Linked DNA regions of Elephas maximus indicus. The protein of the gene in region 1 interacts with the protein of each later gene in a biochemical or structural test. Links are inferred from orthologs where the notes say so. Each region holds a gene or a part of one and is shown on either strand. Other genes may lie near its edges.

What was found.
Region 2: of the proteins of CDKN1B (region 1) and RNF6, one has a biochemical effect on the other in vitro, tested with the Homo sapiens proteins (2 studies listed by BioGRID, with this or other methods). The link is inferred for Elephas maximus indicus from reciprocal best matches to the Homo sapiens genes CDKN1B and RNF6.

What each region holds. Positions count from the first base shown.
Region 1 is NC_064822.1:71,306,819-71,314,725, forward strand, and holds the start of CDKN1B (cyclin-dependent kinase inhibitor 1B), read left to right. Parts: upstream 1-4,870; 5' UTR 4,871-5,167; coding exon 5,168-5,642; intron 5,643-6,160; coding exon 6,161-6,282; 3' UTR 6,283-6,290; intron 6,291-7,907. UniProt on the Homo sapiens protein: Important regulator of cell cycle progression. Inhibits the kinase activity of CDK2 bound to cyclin A, but has little inhibitory activity on CDK2 bound to SPDYA. Involved in G1 arrest. Potent inhibitor of cyclin E- and cyclin A-CDK2 complexes.
Region 2 is NC_064841.1:57,961,871-57,969,836, forward strand, and holds the start of RNF6 (E3 ubiquitin-protein ligase RNF6), read right to left. Parts: upstream 3,096-7,966; 5' UTR 2,810-3,095; intron 2,790-2,809; exon of another isoform or gene 2,608-2,789; intron 2,279-2,607; exon of another isoform or gene 2,068-2,278; intron 149-2,067; 5' UTR 130-148; coding exon 1-129. UniProt on the Homo sapiens protein: E3 ubiquitin-protein ligase mediating 'Lys-48'-linked polyubiquitination of LIMK1 and its subsequent targeting to the proteasome for degradation. Negatively regulates axonal outgrowth through regulation of the LIMK1 turnover.

The sequences.
Region 1 (7,907 bases):
GGAGACATCGGAGTGGTCTGGGTCCAGCCACACAGCCAGGCCCTGCTTCCCTAAAGCAGACAGCACATCCTGAACTACGGTGTGAATTCCCTGGGACTGCCTGACAGCTGCTGGTGGATGACCTATCCAGTCTCTTCTAGTTCTGGCCATCTGGGACCTTGAGAGACTTGTCTCCCAACAGGAGGTCCACAGAGACCCAGTGCGCTTGTGTCTGCACTCAGGCATTTTGCAGAAGAACTGCTGTGGAGGAGTCAAAAGTTCCCTCCTACTTCTAGGGATCGTCCACCTGGTGATGACTTCCATCCGGCCTCAGGAAAAAGCATGCCTCCCCTGAGTCCCACAATGACCTCAGATCACAAAGACCCTTACAATCTTCTCTACAGTCTGCTCATTCATGTATCATCTCCTCCATGAACCCTTCTTCTTTCTCCCCGCCTTGTACTCCACAGCACCATGTTCTTTCATTTATTGCTTTCTATCTCTGTAGTTTTTGTACACATGGTGGCCTCCCCAACTAAGGTGTACATTCCCTAAATGCAGGGATTGTGACTTGGTGACCTCTTCACTCCTCAGGCTGCTGAGAATAATGCCATGGAAGATGGTTTACACATGCTAAGATCACATCATTCCACTGCTCAAAACCTCCTTATGTGTCAATGGCGTCTCATATCACTGAGTGAATGATAAAGAGCCTACAGAGGCCTACATGGTCCGATGTGATCTGTTGTTCCTGTTACCACTCTCCCCTTGCTCAGCACTCTCCACTATATGGGCCTCCTTATTGTTCTTTGAACACACCAGGCAAGAGCCACTTCAGAGCCTTGGCATTTGCTGTTCTCTTTATTGGGACATTCTTTCCCCAGATGTCTGCATGGTTCACTTTCTCATGTCCTTCAAGGTTCTCTCAAAGGCCACTCTCTGGGTGAGGCCTTCCCTGACCACTCTTCACACTGTGACCTTCACACACCTGGCTTTCCCTTTCCCTTGATCAGTGTTTCTCCACAGGACTCGTCACTTTCTTCCTAGTGCATATTTTACTCATTTGTTGCATTTATTTTCTGTCTCCTCTCTCCTCACTAGGACATAAGCTACATTCTAGTTTTTATTTGTTCACTTCTGTATCCCCAGAGCCTAGGATAATGCCTGGCTGGGTAGGCATTCAAAAAATATTTGTTGAAAGAAAGAACGAACAAATTAATAAAAAGTTTTCCATAAATATTTGTTAAATTGATTTAAAAGATTTAAGATACAGATGACTGTGAAATTTCCAAATTCTTTACAAATATGGCAAAAAAAAAAAAAAAGACAGGGAATGGTGATATTGAGTGAAAGCTACCTCATTATAAACATCCTTGAGGAAGGATTAAAATTATGTATTTATGGTGGAAGGGGCAACCGGGCAAGGAAACATGCACCATCAGAGAAATATTTGGGGCTACGTAATTTCCTCGTGAGAGGGCTCCATCTGGGAGCAGGGCTAACACAGCCCCACCACCTCATTTTGACACTTGTCTACTCACAGGTGTTTTAAGTTATTTTGGTCTTTGCCTCACTCCTCAGAACATGAAAGACAGACATCTGGCCTTGGCTATGTGAGACTTCTCAGCTCTAACTAGGAAACCACCAGAAGTGAAAACAACAACAAAAACACCACACACGACTAGATCCTGGGTCTTGGGGAAGCAGAGCCCATTTCTGAGCAGTGTGAGTGGAACTCTTTTTTACTCAGGCTCCGCCTTTGCACTGTTTATCTGAAAAATTTCTCCCTGGCTTACTCTTCTGCAGCCACCTACTTTCCACAGGAGCATGGCGCTCTGATCTCCACGTTCTCTCTTCCCTCGGGGACTCCATAGTATTTTTTTCACGCTTCGCTGATACTACAGCAGACGCCTGCCTTCTCATTATTTGCTGTACAGATCTCCGGTGCCTTGACTGTAAACAAAACACTTTAGATCATAGCAAGGTCATGTAAGCACAGCCCTTCTGCTGGCAGCCAGACTTCTTAAGGTGGCTTCACCGTGGCTCGTTTATTTCTCAAGAGTAACAAAGCAACAAAATGGTGCTCCCACATAGTAACTGAAGATTCAGTGTGTAGGGGATAGAAGTATTCATTTTCTACTTTTATACAAAATGTTAATCCCATTATAAAATTAAACTTCTGTGACAAGCTAGTACTCTAGAATTTCTCCATTCATGTATGTAGTAGTTTGTAGTTATTATTCACATATACGCATACATAATATAAAATTCCTCTGTAGTCTAGCAGAGATTTAAGAATTTGGGCAAAAACACCTTATTTCAGGGCTAGGATATAAATTAAGGTCGTGAAATCTATCTTAACTTTCCTGCCCCCCTTCCTAACCTAACAACTTAGTGGGGCATTAAACGTAGACAATTAAAGAGGATGAGACCTCCTGCTTTGATCCTAGGTGAACTCTTTTCTGTCAGCCAGGTAGCAAGCCCTGACTTTGAAACCATTCTGTACACTGTATTCCCTCACTGCTCCCTGGGTGCCACCTCTGTCCTTTTGGAATCTGCGTTTAGTTGAACTAGTTGATAGTGATATTAAAGGCCAGTAATGGCAACATTTAAATATCAGTGACCACAGACCACGTCAAGGAAACATCTGCAAGCAGTCCCGGGCCTGGGAAGGAGCCGTTTTGAACCACGAGTAGGAAAGGAAGGCCTGTAGCACAAGCTAATCCAGACAAAAACTTGAACCAGTTGGAACCATCAGGAAGGAAAACCCACTGCCACCGAGTCTATTCTGACTCAGCAACCATATAGGACAGAGTAGAACTGCCCCATAGAGTTTCCAAGGAGTGCCTGGTAGATTTGAACTACTAACCTTTTGGTTAGCAGCCATAGCTCTTAACCACTACACCACCAGGGTTTCCATCAGGAAGGAAAGGAACAGAAAACGAATCAGATTGTGAGATAGGAGACCTGTGTCTAGTCCTGGCTCTGCTACCAACTGAATGTGTGTCCCTGGACAGGAAACTTTTCTGAGCCTCAATTTTCTCAGTGGTAAAACGAGAAGGTTGAACCACAGGGTCCCCAGGGACCCTCCCCACACTAACATTCCAGAGTGTATACAGAGGACAAATAAGACGTGGTTGTGAAAGCAAGTTAAAAATCAAACTCATCGATAGCATAGGTGCATGAGAACACATTGCTGCTGTGCAATGTTGGAACCAAACCAAAAACCCACTGCTGTGGAGTGATTCCGATTCATAGCGGCCCTGTGTTAGAAATGGAGGTTAATTTCCAGTAAAATTTATTTACTTTGGTCCAAGGAAGATTATGTGTATTGGGAGTGGGACTGGGAAGGCAGTTAAAGACCCACTGAGCTATGACAACCCTGCCCACCCAGTTTTAACTTCCACCACCGAGCTGAAGACCAAACTGACTGATATGTTTCAATTTGCAGAGCGGAGAGGAGAAATGACCTAATCACGTCAGGCATGAGGACATGGTTGTGGTGGTTTTATAAATCATTTCATAACATAGACTTTGATTCTTAGGGGAAATATTTTCACCTTTCAACAGCTTGCAGTCCTCTGAAAGCAGCCAGTTGCATCTGAACGTAGTTTGGGTGTGTTGGAGCAGGAAGCCGGTGGGAGAGAAAGGTGGAGGAAGGAAGGAGCTGTTGCCTTTGGCGACTGGACTCAGGTAGAGGAAACTACTACAACCCGTGAAAGAATTGAAAAGTATAAAGAGAAGGAGGCGAGTTCCCACACGCAGTCAATGTCAGTGGCCTTAAGTGTACTGGGGAAGCAAGAACCTGGGCCAAGGGTGTAACCTCGGTTTTCAAAACTAAATGTATCTGAAACGGCTACAAAGTTTAAGGGACTTGGGCAAGCAGTCGAGCTTTTGATCTTTAGATTCTTTTCCAATGCGTGAGAGCTTGGGTTCAGAACACAGTATGAAGGCTGCGCCTGGCTACCTTATAGAAAGACATTAGCCCTGGCTTTTCCCCTTAACTTCTGGGTTAAGCCTGAGCTAACCGTTGCCCACCCCCTGTGGCACTCTGACATGGAGGCAGGGATGGGGTGCGCGGGGAGGGGGGTGGTCCTGGCCCTCGGCAAAGGTTTCCTGACCTCCTCCGCAGAGCACGAGGTGGGGGCCACTGCCTCGAGCCCAGAAGAAGCCTCAGCTCGCACCATCTGCCTCCGCCCTCCACTCCCCCGCGCCTCCGGCTCGGCGAGTGCAGGGAAAACAAGATCGCCACCGAGGCTCAAAACGTTGAGAGGAGAGCAACATTACAGATCATCTGGTCCAGCCCCTTCGTTTCACCGGCCAGGAGCTGGAGGTCTGGGCTAACGAGCGGGCGGGCCAGCCAGCGCAGCGCGGGGACCAGTACCCATGGCCCCGCCTGCCCCGCCGCAGAGGCCCCTCCCCAGCTTCCCGGCCGTTTGGCTAGTTTGTTTGTCTTATTTTTAATTTCTCCGAGGCCAGCCAGAGCAGGTTTGCTGGCAGCAGTACACCTCCAGCAATCACGGGACCAGCCAATCTCCTCCTTGCGCTCTCGGAGTCGGCGCGCTCTGGAAGGCGGAGAGGCGGCGGAACCGCGCCGGGGCCACCTTAAGGCCGCGCTCGCCAGCCTCAGCTGGGCGGCTCCCGGCGCCGCAACCAATGGATCTCCTCCTCTGTTTAAATAGACTTGCGGTGTCAATCATTTTCTTCTTCGTCAGCCTCCCTTCCACCGCCATATTGGGCAACTAAAAAAAGGGGGCTCGCCTTTTCAGGGTGTTTTTCTCCCTTTCCCTTCTCCCCACTTTCTCTCCGCTCCGCGACTCTGACGCCGGCAAGGTTTGGAGAGCGGCTGGGTTCGCGGGACCCGCGGGCTAGCGGCAGCCGGGACTTGGCCTGGCCTTTCCGCCCCCTCCTCCTTCCTCCTCCCCTCCCCTCCCCGCCCTCCCGCTCGCCGGTACACTTGATCTGCGGAGACTTTCGGCTGCCTCTCCGGGGCTTCCCCTTACTCCCTCCCCCAGATCCAGCGCGCTCCTGAAGCTCGGGCACTTACTTGTTGGTGTTTGTTTCTCTTGGCTCCGAGGGCAGTCGCAGAGCTTCTAAAAGGGGGTTGGGTTGGGTCGGGGCGTTTTGTTTTGTTCGGTTTTGTTTTTTGAGAGAGCCAGAGAGGCGGTAGTAAAGACTCGAGAGGAAGATGTCAAACGTGCGAGTGTCTAACGGGAGCCCGAGCCTGGAGCGGATGGACGCCAGACAGGCGGAGTACCCTAAGCCCTCCGCCTGCAGAAACCTCTTCGGCCCGGTGAATCACGAAGAGTTAACTCGGGACTTGGAGAAGCACTGCAGAGACATGGAAGAGGCTAGCCAGCGCAAGTGGAATTTTGATTTTCAGAATCACAAGCCCCTGGAGGGGAAATACGAGTGGCAAGAGATGGAAAAGGGCAGCTTGCCCGAGTTTTACTACAGACCCCCGCGGCCCCCCAAAGGCGCATGCAAGGTACCGGCGCAAGAGAGCCAGGATGTCAACGGGAGCCGTCAGGCGGTGCCTTTAATAGGGTCTCAGGCAAACTCAGAGGACACACATTTGGTAGACCAAAAGACTGAAACATCAGACAGCCAGACGGGGTTAGCGGAGCAGTGCCCTGGGATACGGAAGAGACCTGCAACAGACGGTAATGACCTTTTCAAACGTATATGCCTGTCTGGGGCAGCGCTTTGCTTGCTTGAGGGTCTTAAATTTAGCTCTTTGTACCGTATTCTGATCTAGATTTTGGGAGCGAACTTTATTAATCCTGGGCTGTGAATGCTACCTGCTGACTGCTTGTTTGTTTACGCTTTTTAAACCAGAATCCAGCGATGGGGTAATATCTGATATTTTCACTAACTTAAAACATCGCAGTTCCTTTTCCAGCCTTAGTTATGTGACAATGTTGAGATGTTTATCAACGGCCTTCCTCTACCCTGTGGAGAGAGCGATTTGGGGCGTAGAATACACTTTTTGTTACGTGAAAACAATCTGATTTTGTGCACTTAAAGGGCACTGTGATGAAGGATCCAGGATTGTGGGTGGAGGTAGTGGGTTTTTCATTCCCTGACTATGGGGTCAACTTGTCTGAGCCATTGTTTTTTCTAATAAAGATTGTGTGTGTGCTTTTTTTTTTTTTTTTTTGGAATTTCCCCTTGTCCTTAGATTCTTCTACTCAAAACAAAAGAGCCAACAGAACAGAAGAAAATGTTTCAGAAGGGTCCCCAAACGCAGGCTCAGTGGAGCAGACGCCCAAGAAGCCGAGCCTCAGAAGACGTCAAACATAAACCGCTTGGTGGGTTGATTACTAAGAGCAAACAACTGACACCCGAATGGGGCTGCAGGAACCCTGTGGGTCAGAAAACCCCAAGATACCTGATCTTCCTGGTTGCTGGCAGATAAGGAGCTCGTGGGTGTTTGTTTTTATTTTGTGAGGTCAAAAAAGTAGGAATGGGGAAACGTGGGGAATCACTGTGGGAATACTGTAATTCTTCAAAATCTACGTCCTGAGATAATTTTCCCTTAACACACTATACAGCTAGAACAAGTGTGCTAGGCAAGTACTTGTAGCCAAGACCCCATGAGTAGGAAGGTTATTTCCTTGTGAGTCCCACCAAAACATGCTGGGAACAATAGGTTCTTTCCTCATCTGAGTGAGAACTGGGGTAAGCCTCAGTCCCACTTCATGAGGACTCATTTCCCAGAGGTTCAGGTTGAGTCACTAACAGATTTTGAGGCCATACATTCAATGATTGGCTTTCAAATTTGAGGGGGGAAGTTAGGTACAAAAAGCTCACATTTGGTTAATCAAGTGATTAGAAATGTGAATAGGGTGGAATGTTGTGTTCTTTTCTTTTTACTGTTTTCATAGACTATCACTTATCATTATCTGGTTTCTGATAAATTTGGGGGAGAGAAGGAGCCTGCATATTTTTAAAAAAAAATCCCTAGTGAAAGCTCAAAAATACTAAAGTTCCTGTAGAATTCTGGTAACACCAAAGTTGCAAAGCAGAAGTTAAATGAACTCTGCCAGGGTAAGCAATCCAGGAACACGTCAGCATGTGTATGCTAATCATGCTATAACAGGACAATGTAGATATTTGTAGGGGAAATGGGTAGTACAGATCAGGGCTTGCCAAGGGTAGGTCTACCAGGCACAAGAGAAGTGGAGATTTTTCCATTTACTAAAATTTGATCACCATGTATAGCTAATTTGAATACTTTAGCACTCAAGTGGATTGGCTGTGCCTGATAATCAAACTGCATGTATTCTAGTAGTTTACAGGCTTCTTAAAAACGAGGACTGTTAACCCTTTTTTTTTTCCTCCAAAAAGCACACTTAAAGCCTAGCATTTAAAAAGATCATAGTAGATGTTGATATTAACTTTTTAAATCCTAGTTTATAAAATTTTTAAAATAAATTCCCACAAGGATTAAAGCGGGGTTCAGGTTTGTTGTGTTTTTAAAACATTATAATGTCATATGTATGACTTTTCCACACATGTATATATTTTTAGAGCTTATACAAAATGGCACTATAAAATCTCTCTATTATATACAGTTCTGTATGAAGTAGGAAAATTTTTCTTGAAGCAACCTTAACACATACAGCTCTTTTTGGTTTGTGACTTGTGGCTTTGCTCATTACATGAGCCGCTGTGAATCAGAACTACTGAATTCTGACCACATTCTGACATGCAGAGAGACATTCGTTAGTAAATGTTGCCAATTTAAAGAATCCTAGGAGTAGTAGTAAGGTCTGTTCAAAAGCATGTATGTGTATATTCTGTCTGTAAATAAGAGAATATTTATTTGTTCCTGAGTTTTTAAAAAAGATACTGATTGAATTTTCATTTGAAGGGCCTTTATAAATTATATTTAGTTTTTCAAATTTAGAAAATTTTGCTACTCT
Region 2 (7,966 bases), on another chromosome or scaffold:
AAACTGATAATAAGCTTCTTCTCTCCGGAGACGCTCTTGCTGCCACCTTCTCTCATTTTCACGATGATCATGGTCTTGAAATGAGGATTCTTCACCACCATCATCTGATCTAGATCTAGACTGACTCATACTGAGATTTCCTGGCTTTCTGTTCAAACAATACATACAGAAGTCAAGGTATTTATTCGTGGATGACACATGGCTTTATATTTTTACCTTATAGCTTTTATCTGTTTTTTTTTTTTTTTCGTATTTATTTGGTCTTTTTGTCCCTACTCAAATACTTCATTTGCCAAATCTTGTGAATATCCACACAAATGAAAAACAGCTAAGAGACAGAACACAACAGGACCTACTTCTTTGCCTAAAGTCATAGTTAAAGTCAGACTGGATTTGGCTTTACCACACAACTTTCCATATCTGAATCTCAAAGTGAGTGCCTCATTTTTTTTTAACCCCTCAATATTGTGGTTAACTCAGTCTAAAAACCCTTACTGATGTTTCAAGTATCTGGATATTTCATGTAATTCATAAATTTCAACCTTTAATTATTTACGTTCTTTACTTAATAAGCAAGGGCTATTTGTATTTATTTTCGGCAAGAATATTCTTCTCAAAATAAAACTCAGATAAACGTACTATTACCGCATTGCACTTTGTTGAGGTAAAAATAATTATTCCTCCCGATCTCTCTTGAAAGCCTAACAGAAAGCCTTTTGAAATTTAACAGTAAAGAGCCCTCCATGCACGGCTCTGAGAACTGTGAGAGTGCAGAGAGCGCTCCCCAAAGCCTGGAATCGTTAGTCCCATGTCTCTGAGTACCGGGGAAATTCTTCACCTTGCCTAAACAAACACTTTATTTATATTATGCTTAAATGTCATCCCTGAGAAACCTACTTTTAAAACACAAAAACCAAAAAAACCAAACCCGTTGCCACTGAGTCATTTCTGATGCATAGCGACCCTACAGGACAGAGGAGAACTGCCTCATAGGGTTTCCAAGGAGCACCTGGTAGACTCGAACTGCCAACCTTTTGGTTAGCAGCCGTAGCATTAACCACTATACCACCAGGGTTTCCAGGAAACTCAAAACCAAACCCACTGTTGTGAGTGGATTCCAACTCATAGCTACCCAGGACAGAGTAGAACTGCCCCATAGGGTTTCCAAGACTGTAAATCTTTATGGAAGCAGGCTGCCACATCTTTCTCTGGCAGAGCAGCTGATGGGTTCAAACTGCCAACCTTTCAGTTTGCAGCCAAGTCCTTTAATCACTGCACCACCAGGGCTCCTTACTATAAGGAAATCATGGCAAAAAAAAAATTTTTGTAAATATCTTAACTCTTTTTTGAACATTTATTAAATCACTAAGGCAATGGTTCTCAATTGGGAGTGCACATCACAACCACCTGAAGAAATCAAAAACAAAAAAAAAGGAATGTTCACATCTCATCCCCAATTCTAAATTAGAATTTTCCAGGGTAGGGCCAACACCTATCTTTAAGAGCTCATTTGAGGTACTGTGATGAAATAAACTATTCCCAGACAATTTCTGTATGTCACCAAAGGGTGCGAGTTAATGTAAGTTAGTAAAGGCCGGAGGATCAAATGATTTAGGTTGCCAGTTGCAATTCTAATTCTCAATATATAAATATAAAAAATACTAGGTGTTAAATCAGCATATTGCTTTAAATATAAAATTAGCTTACAGTTCTAAACTACTGTATAAGCCAGCACTTACCCAAATTCGTATGTACTGTACCAAGCAATTACAAATTCAAGAATTTTTTTTACAGTGACCATGTCTTTTTTAATGAAAGATCTAGAAGAGCAATCCACTCAAATGTAAATCAACATTACCAAAAACTTAAGATTTCTTTCCCCTTTCAGAATAATCAGGACCAAGGAATCTATTTAGTAGGGACAGTTTTAATAAAATTTTTGTACTAAACAATTTAAAAAGTTGATACCTATCATAAATCAAGCTCCTCTTATTATTACTCAAAACTTAAGAGCATCTCCTCACAGGAAATTTTCTCGCATAATTTACCACAGATCAAAGTGAATACCTTATTTTCCTTTCAATATGCTTTCAATATATGCAACGGTATCCATCTTTCAATTGTTCGTGTTTTTTTTTAAGAATTGCCCATCTGAAGCAATTGGAAAAGAGCCGAATTATTCAAACTAATCTGTCTTTTGGAAGGCCGGAACTGCTGGTAGTCTCCACTCCGCTGCAAGACAAAGCCAATTCTCCCGTGGATTTTCTTAGACACTCACCTAGAAAATGAGATCCCCACACAATTAGGTCATGAAAATCTCCCGCCAGGCCCTTTGCTCCCACAACAGAAATGTAGGCCTTTCCTCCTACACTGTCCCAGCCCCAGAGATTACGCTCCTCTCTCCCAAAGGCCTTCCTGCCTCTCCTCCTCCCATTTAGCTGTGGCCAGGATTACGTGTGAATACACTTTACTTTTAAACCTTCACTTTCTTGCCCCTCTGCCCGCCGTCCCGCTACTAGTTCCCTTCTTGTCCGTTGCGACGGAAGCTCGCGCCTCGGGGACAGTCCCGACTGCAACAAACAAACTCGGCTCCAGGGCCCAACCAACCTCTTCCCAAACGAGAGCGAAGTAACGCTTCCCTTGGCGACCTAGATTCCCACCCGGAAGTCAGTGAGAGACAGAGCATTCCAACCAATCACTAGCTAGAAGAACTGATTGAGGGAGCACTTAACCAATCAGAAAAGAGGAAGGCGGCCCCAAGGATGGCCTGCTTTCTTCGACGGAACTCACGGCTTTCCTCCAAACTCACCTCGCCTGGAATGAATCCTCTGGAAAAGTCGACGGCGGCTCTCCTTTCGGGTCCTAAAACTGACTGGGAGGCGGAAGAGGCTTGCCACCGCTTCCGCGGAGGCCGATTCGACCACTAATCATTTACTGAGAAGCCGGAAGCCTGTGCTACGGCTTAGGATCTTCTAGCTGGCGGGGAAGCTATGGAGGAAAGACCGACTCCTGCGCTTTTTTCCCTACAGGCAGTTCAGTCTCCTTCCGGCTGAGGCACCGCCTCGATCGAGGGGAGACGCTCCACCTTCTGCCGAATGCTCGCTGGTGCGCTTGAAAACTGCGTCCGGAGGGAGAGCCAGGGTGCCTGAGTTCCGCGTTCCGCTTACTCAACGTTTCTGTCTCCTTGGGTTTTCTAAGCTAGTATCAAATTCAGGGCCGCTCAGCGCGCGAAACAGCCACGTATGCCCACAGACACGTCCTGCTTGCCACTCTTGATGGGTACCAACACTTGCTCTGCCCTTTCGTGTTATTTGTTTGCCAAGCCTGGCTTCGGAGCGCAACACAACAGTCTGTTCGGCTCTTTTTACTGTCCGGGTATAACGTAGTTCAACAACCCGGACGTTTTCCTTAATCTTATTGGTACCTGGGTATGACAAACCCTAATAAATCCTAAAATGCTTACATTGACTTTCCCTCCAGAGTCGCTGTGAGTCGGAGCCCTCGTGGCGAAGTCGTTAACAGCTTGGGCTACTAACCAAAAAAAAAAAAGTCAGCAGTTCGAATCCAGCAGCCGCTGTTCAGAGACCCTGTAGAGCAGTTCTACGCTGTCCTGTAGGGTCCCTATGAGTCCAAATCGACTCCAGGGCAACAGGTTTGGGTAACAAAAAAGATAAAAAAAAAAAAAAAAGATACAGTCCTTAATATCAGTGAGCAACTAGTGTGGTATGAGTTTGTGGACAAGTAAAAAATGTAAGTTAAGCAAGCAAAAAATATAAAATATTATATATACTAAAATAGAAATAAATAAACAGCACAGCCTATAAGGCCCTTCAGGGAGCCCTGGTGACAACAGTGATTAAGTGCTCAGCTGCTAACCAAAAGATCTGAAGTTCAAACCCTCTGTGAGAAAAAGATATGGTAATTAATCTGCTTCCGCAAAGATTAAAAAAAAAAAAAAACTCACATTGGCACAGAGTGGATTTAAGTCATAAAGATTACAGCCTAGAAAACCCTGTGGGGCAGTTTTACTCCTATAGGGTCACTATGAGTTGGAGTGACTTGACAGTAAACAACAACAAAAAAAACAAGACCCTACAAAATCTCTCCCTGCATGCCTCTACAGACTGATCCTTCTTGGCACTCCAGAAGTACTTAAAGTTCCTCAACAATGATAGGGAAGCTCCTGAGCCACTCCAGTCATGCTTTTATCTCACTAATTTCTTCTACCTCCTGGGACTTGGCTCAAATCTCACTTCAAGAAAGTTCTAATACCTCTGTAGTGACACCCTCACACCACCCCCAGCCTAATCTGCACCCATAAAACTAGGCAGGTGTCCCTTTGGGGGGCTCCTATGGCTCCCTCTGTATGCATCCATTTTAGCCCTTTCTCATTTAATAAATACTTATTGACTGCCAACTGCATATTAGATGCTGGTATTAACATCAGGGAATCAGACACACAAGATCCCTGCCCTCATGGAGCACAAAATTCAGTGGAAAAAGACAGCCATTGAACAAGTACTCACAATGATTTTCTGTTAACTTATAGGTCTAGTCCATTGGAATCTAAACCCCTTAAGTATAGACAAAGGGCTTTTATTCAATTTTATAATCCCAGGATTTAGCACAACACCTGGCAGAACATTCTCCTCAGTCTACTGCATGGATGAGTGGAGAAAAAAATGCAAACTTTGTGCAAGAAGGATTAATGTGTATTAGAATAATGACCTCAGAAATTGTGAGTGTAAATCAGAGAAAACAACATGTGAGATAGCCAAAATTCAAGCAGAAATCATTTTAAATATCTCTTTGAGTTTTAAAAAATGCCACATTCTATCGAGTGCAAATACTTTTAAAATGTTAAGCAGAAAAGACTTGTACATCCGTTAAGAGTCAAATAAATGTAAAATCTAATAAAGTGATCTACCTGTCAGAAAACTGTAGATTTCTGTGAGTAGGTAGAGAATCCAACACCTTCAGTTTTTTTTTTTTAATGTCTTTTATTTGAATCTTTTTATTGTAAGGAATATGACATAATAGGTCTCTAAAGGTAAAACTTTTTTATTGTTCTTTAGGTGAAGGTTTACAGAGCAAGTTAGCTTCCCATTCAATAGTTTATACACACTTTGTTCCATGACATAGGCGGCATTCCCCAAAATGTGTCAGCACATTACCACCCTGAGTTCTCCATTTCCATTTCTCTGGTTTTCCTGCCACTTCCTGTCTTCTCATCTTTGCTTTTGGACATATGTTGTCCTTTTGGTCTCATGGAGATGATTATTTTAAGAAGCACTTTTATCATGGGTGTTCTTGTTTATTTTATAGGCCTGTCTATTATTTGGCTGAAAGGCGATCTCCAGGCATGGCTTTGGTTCCAAATTAGAAGGGTATCTAAGGGCTACATTCTCAGGGGTTCCTCCAATCTTTCTCTGACCAGTAAATCTGGTCTTTTTTTTTTTTTTTTTTTATGAATTTGAATTTTGTCCTACATTTTCCCCTCACTCTAACTGGGACCTTTTTGTGATCCTGTTCAGAGCAGTTGGTAGTGGTAGCCAGTCACCATCTAGTTCTTATGGTCTCAGGCTGGTGGAGGCTGTGGCTCCTGTGGTCCACTAGTCCTTTGGACTATTTCCTTCAGTCTTTGGTTTCCTTCACTCTCCTTTGTTCCACACACATAGATGGCTGCCTGAAAGCTGCAAGAATCCATAGAGAGACAGCAATCAGAAATTCAGAAGATTAACAATAAAATTTCAGAATTAGACAACTCAGTAGAAAGTCAGAGGAGCAGAATTGAGGAAATGGAAGTCAGAATTAGTGAGATGGAAGATAAAAAACTTGGCACCAATATATTCAAATAAAAATTGTACAAAAGATTAAAAAAAAAAAAAACCCTAAGAATCATGTGGGACTCTATCAAGAGAAATAATTGACGAGTCATTGGAGTACCAGAACAGGAAAGGAGAACAGAAAATTGTTGAAGATATATTGACAGAAACTTCCCTGATACTGTGAACGATACGAAGATATCTATCCAGGATGCTCATTGAATCCCACATGAGATAGATTCCAAAAGAAAATCACCAAGATATATTATAACCAAACTTGGCAAAACCAAAGATAAAAAGAGGATTTTAAGAGCAGCTAGGGATAAACAAAAAGTCACCCACAAAGGAGAGTTAATAAGAATTAGCGCAGACTACTTAGCAGAAACCATGCAGGCAGGAAGGCAATAGGATAACATATATACAGCATTGAAGGAAAAAAAAATCACCAGTCAAGAATCATATATTCAGCAAGACTGTCTCTCAAATATGAAGGTGAAATTAGGACACTTCCAGATAAACAGAAGTTTAGGGAATTTACAAAAGCCAAACCAAAACTACAAGAAATACTAAAGGGAGTTCTCTGGTTAGAAAATCAATAATATCAGCTATCAACACAATACTAGAACGCAGGACAGAGCAACTAGGTGTCAACCCAGATAGGGAAATCACACACACACAAAAAAATCAAGATAAAAAAATGCTGAAAACAGGGAAACAGTGATGTCATTATGTAAAAGATGGCAACATTAAATCAATAAAGAGGGACTAAAAAATATAGTCATAGATCTTTCATATAGAAAAGAAGTCAAGGTGATATAAACAAATAAGAGTTTGGTTTAAACCTAGAAAAATAGGAGTAAATATTATGGTAACCACAAAACAGGTTAACAATCCTATGCATCAGAATAAAATACAAGAAAAAATGTAACGACTCAGCAAAAACAAAATCAACAATGAAAAAGATGAAAAGACTATAATATAAAAAGAAAAACTACTCAGCACAAAAAATTAAGTGGAAAAAAACCTGTCAAACACACACAAAAAAAGACATCAAAATAATAGCACTAAACTCATAAAACATAATTACACTGAATGTAAATGGAATAAATGCACCAATAAAGAGACAGAGAGTGGCAGAATGGATTAAAAAAACATGATCTGTCTATATACTGCCTACAAGAGACACACCTTAGACTTAAAGACACAAACAAGCTAAAATTCAAAGGACGGAAAAAAATATACCAAGCAAACAACAACCAAAAAACAGCAGGAGTGTCAATATTAATTTCTGACAAAACAGACTTTAAAGTAAAATCCACCACAACGAAAAAGGAAGGACACTATATAATGATTAAAGGGACAATATACCGGGAGGATACAACGGTATTAAATACGTACCCAATGACAGGGCTTCAGGTACATAAACTCTATCAGCATTGAAAAGTGAGATAGACAGCGCCACAATTATAGTAGGAGACTTCAACACACCACTTTCAGTGAAGGACAGAACATCCAGAAAGAAGTTCAGTGAAGACACGGAAGATCTAAATGTCACAATCAAGGAATTTGACCTCATAGATATATACAGAACACACCACCCAGCAGCAGCCAAGTATAATTCTTTTCTAGTGCACATGGAACATTCTCTAGAATAAACCACATATTAGGTCATAAAGCAAGCCTTAGCAGAATCCAAAACAATGAAATACTACAAAGCAGCTTCTCTGTCATAAAGCCATAAAAGCAGAAATCAATAACAGAAAAAGCAGGGAAAAGAAATTAAACAATTGGAAACTGAACAATACCCTGATAAAAAGCAAATGGGTTATAGAAGAAATTAAGGATGGGATAAAGAAATTCATAGAATCCAATGAAAATGAAAATATTTCCTATCAGAACTTTTGGGACACAGTGAAAGCAGTGCTCAGGGGTCAATTTCTATCAATAAATGTACACATCCAAAAAGTAGAAAGGGCCAAAATCAAAGAATTATGCCTGCAACTTGAAGAAATAGAGAGCAACAAAAGAAATCCTGGGGAACCAGAAGAAAGCAAATAATGAAAATTGGAGCAGAATTAAATGAAATAGAGAATAGAAAAACAATTGAAAGAGCTAACAAGAACAAAAGCTTGTTCTTTGAA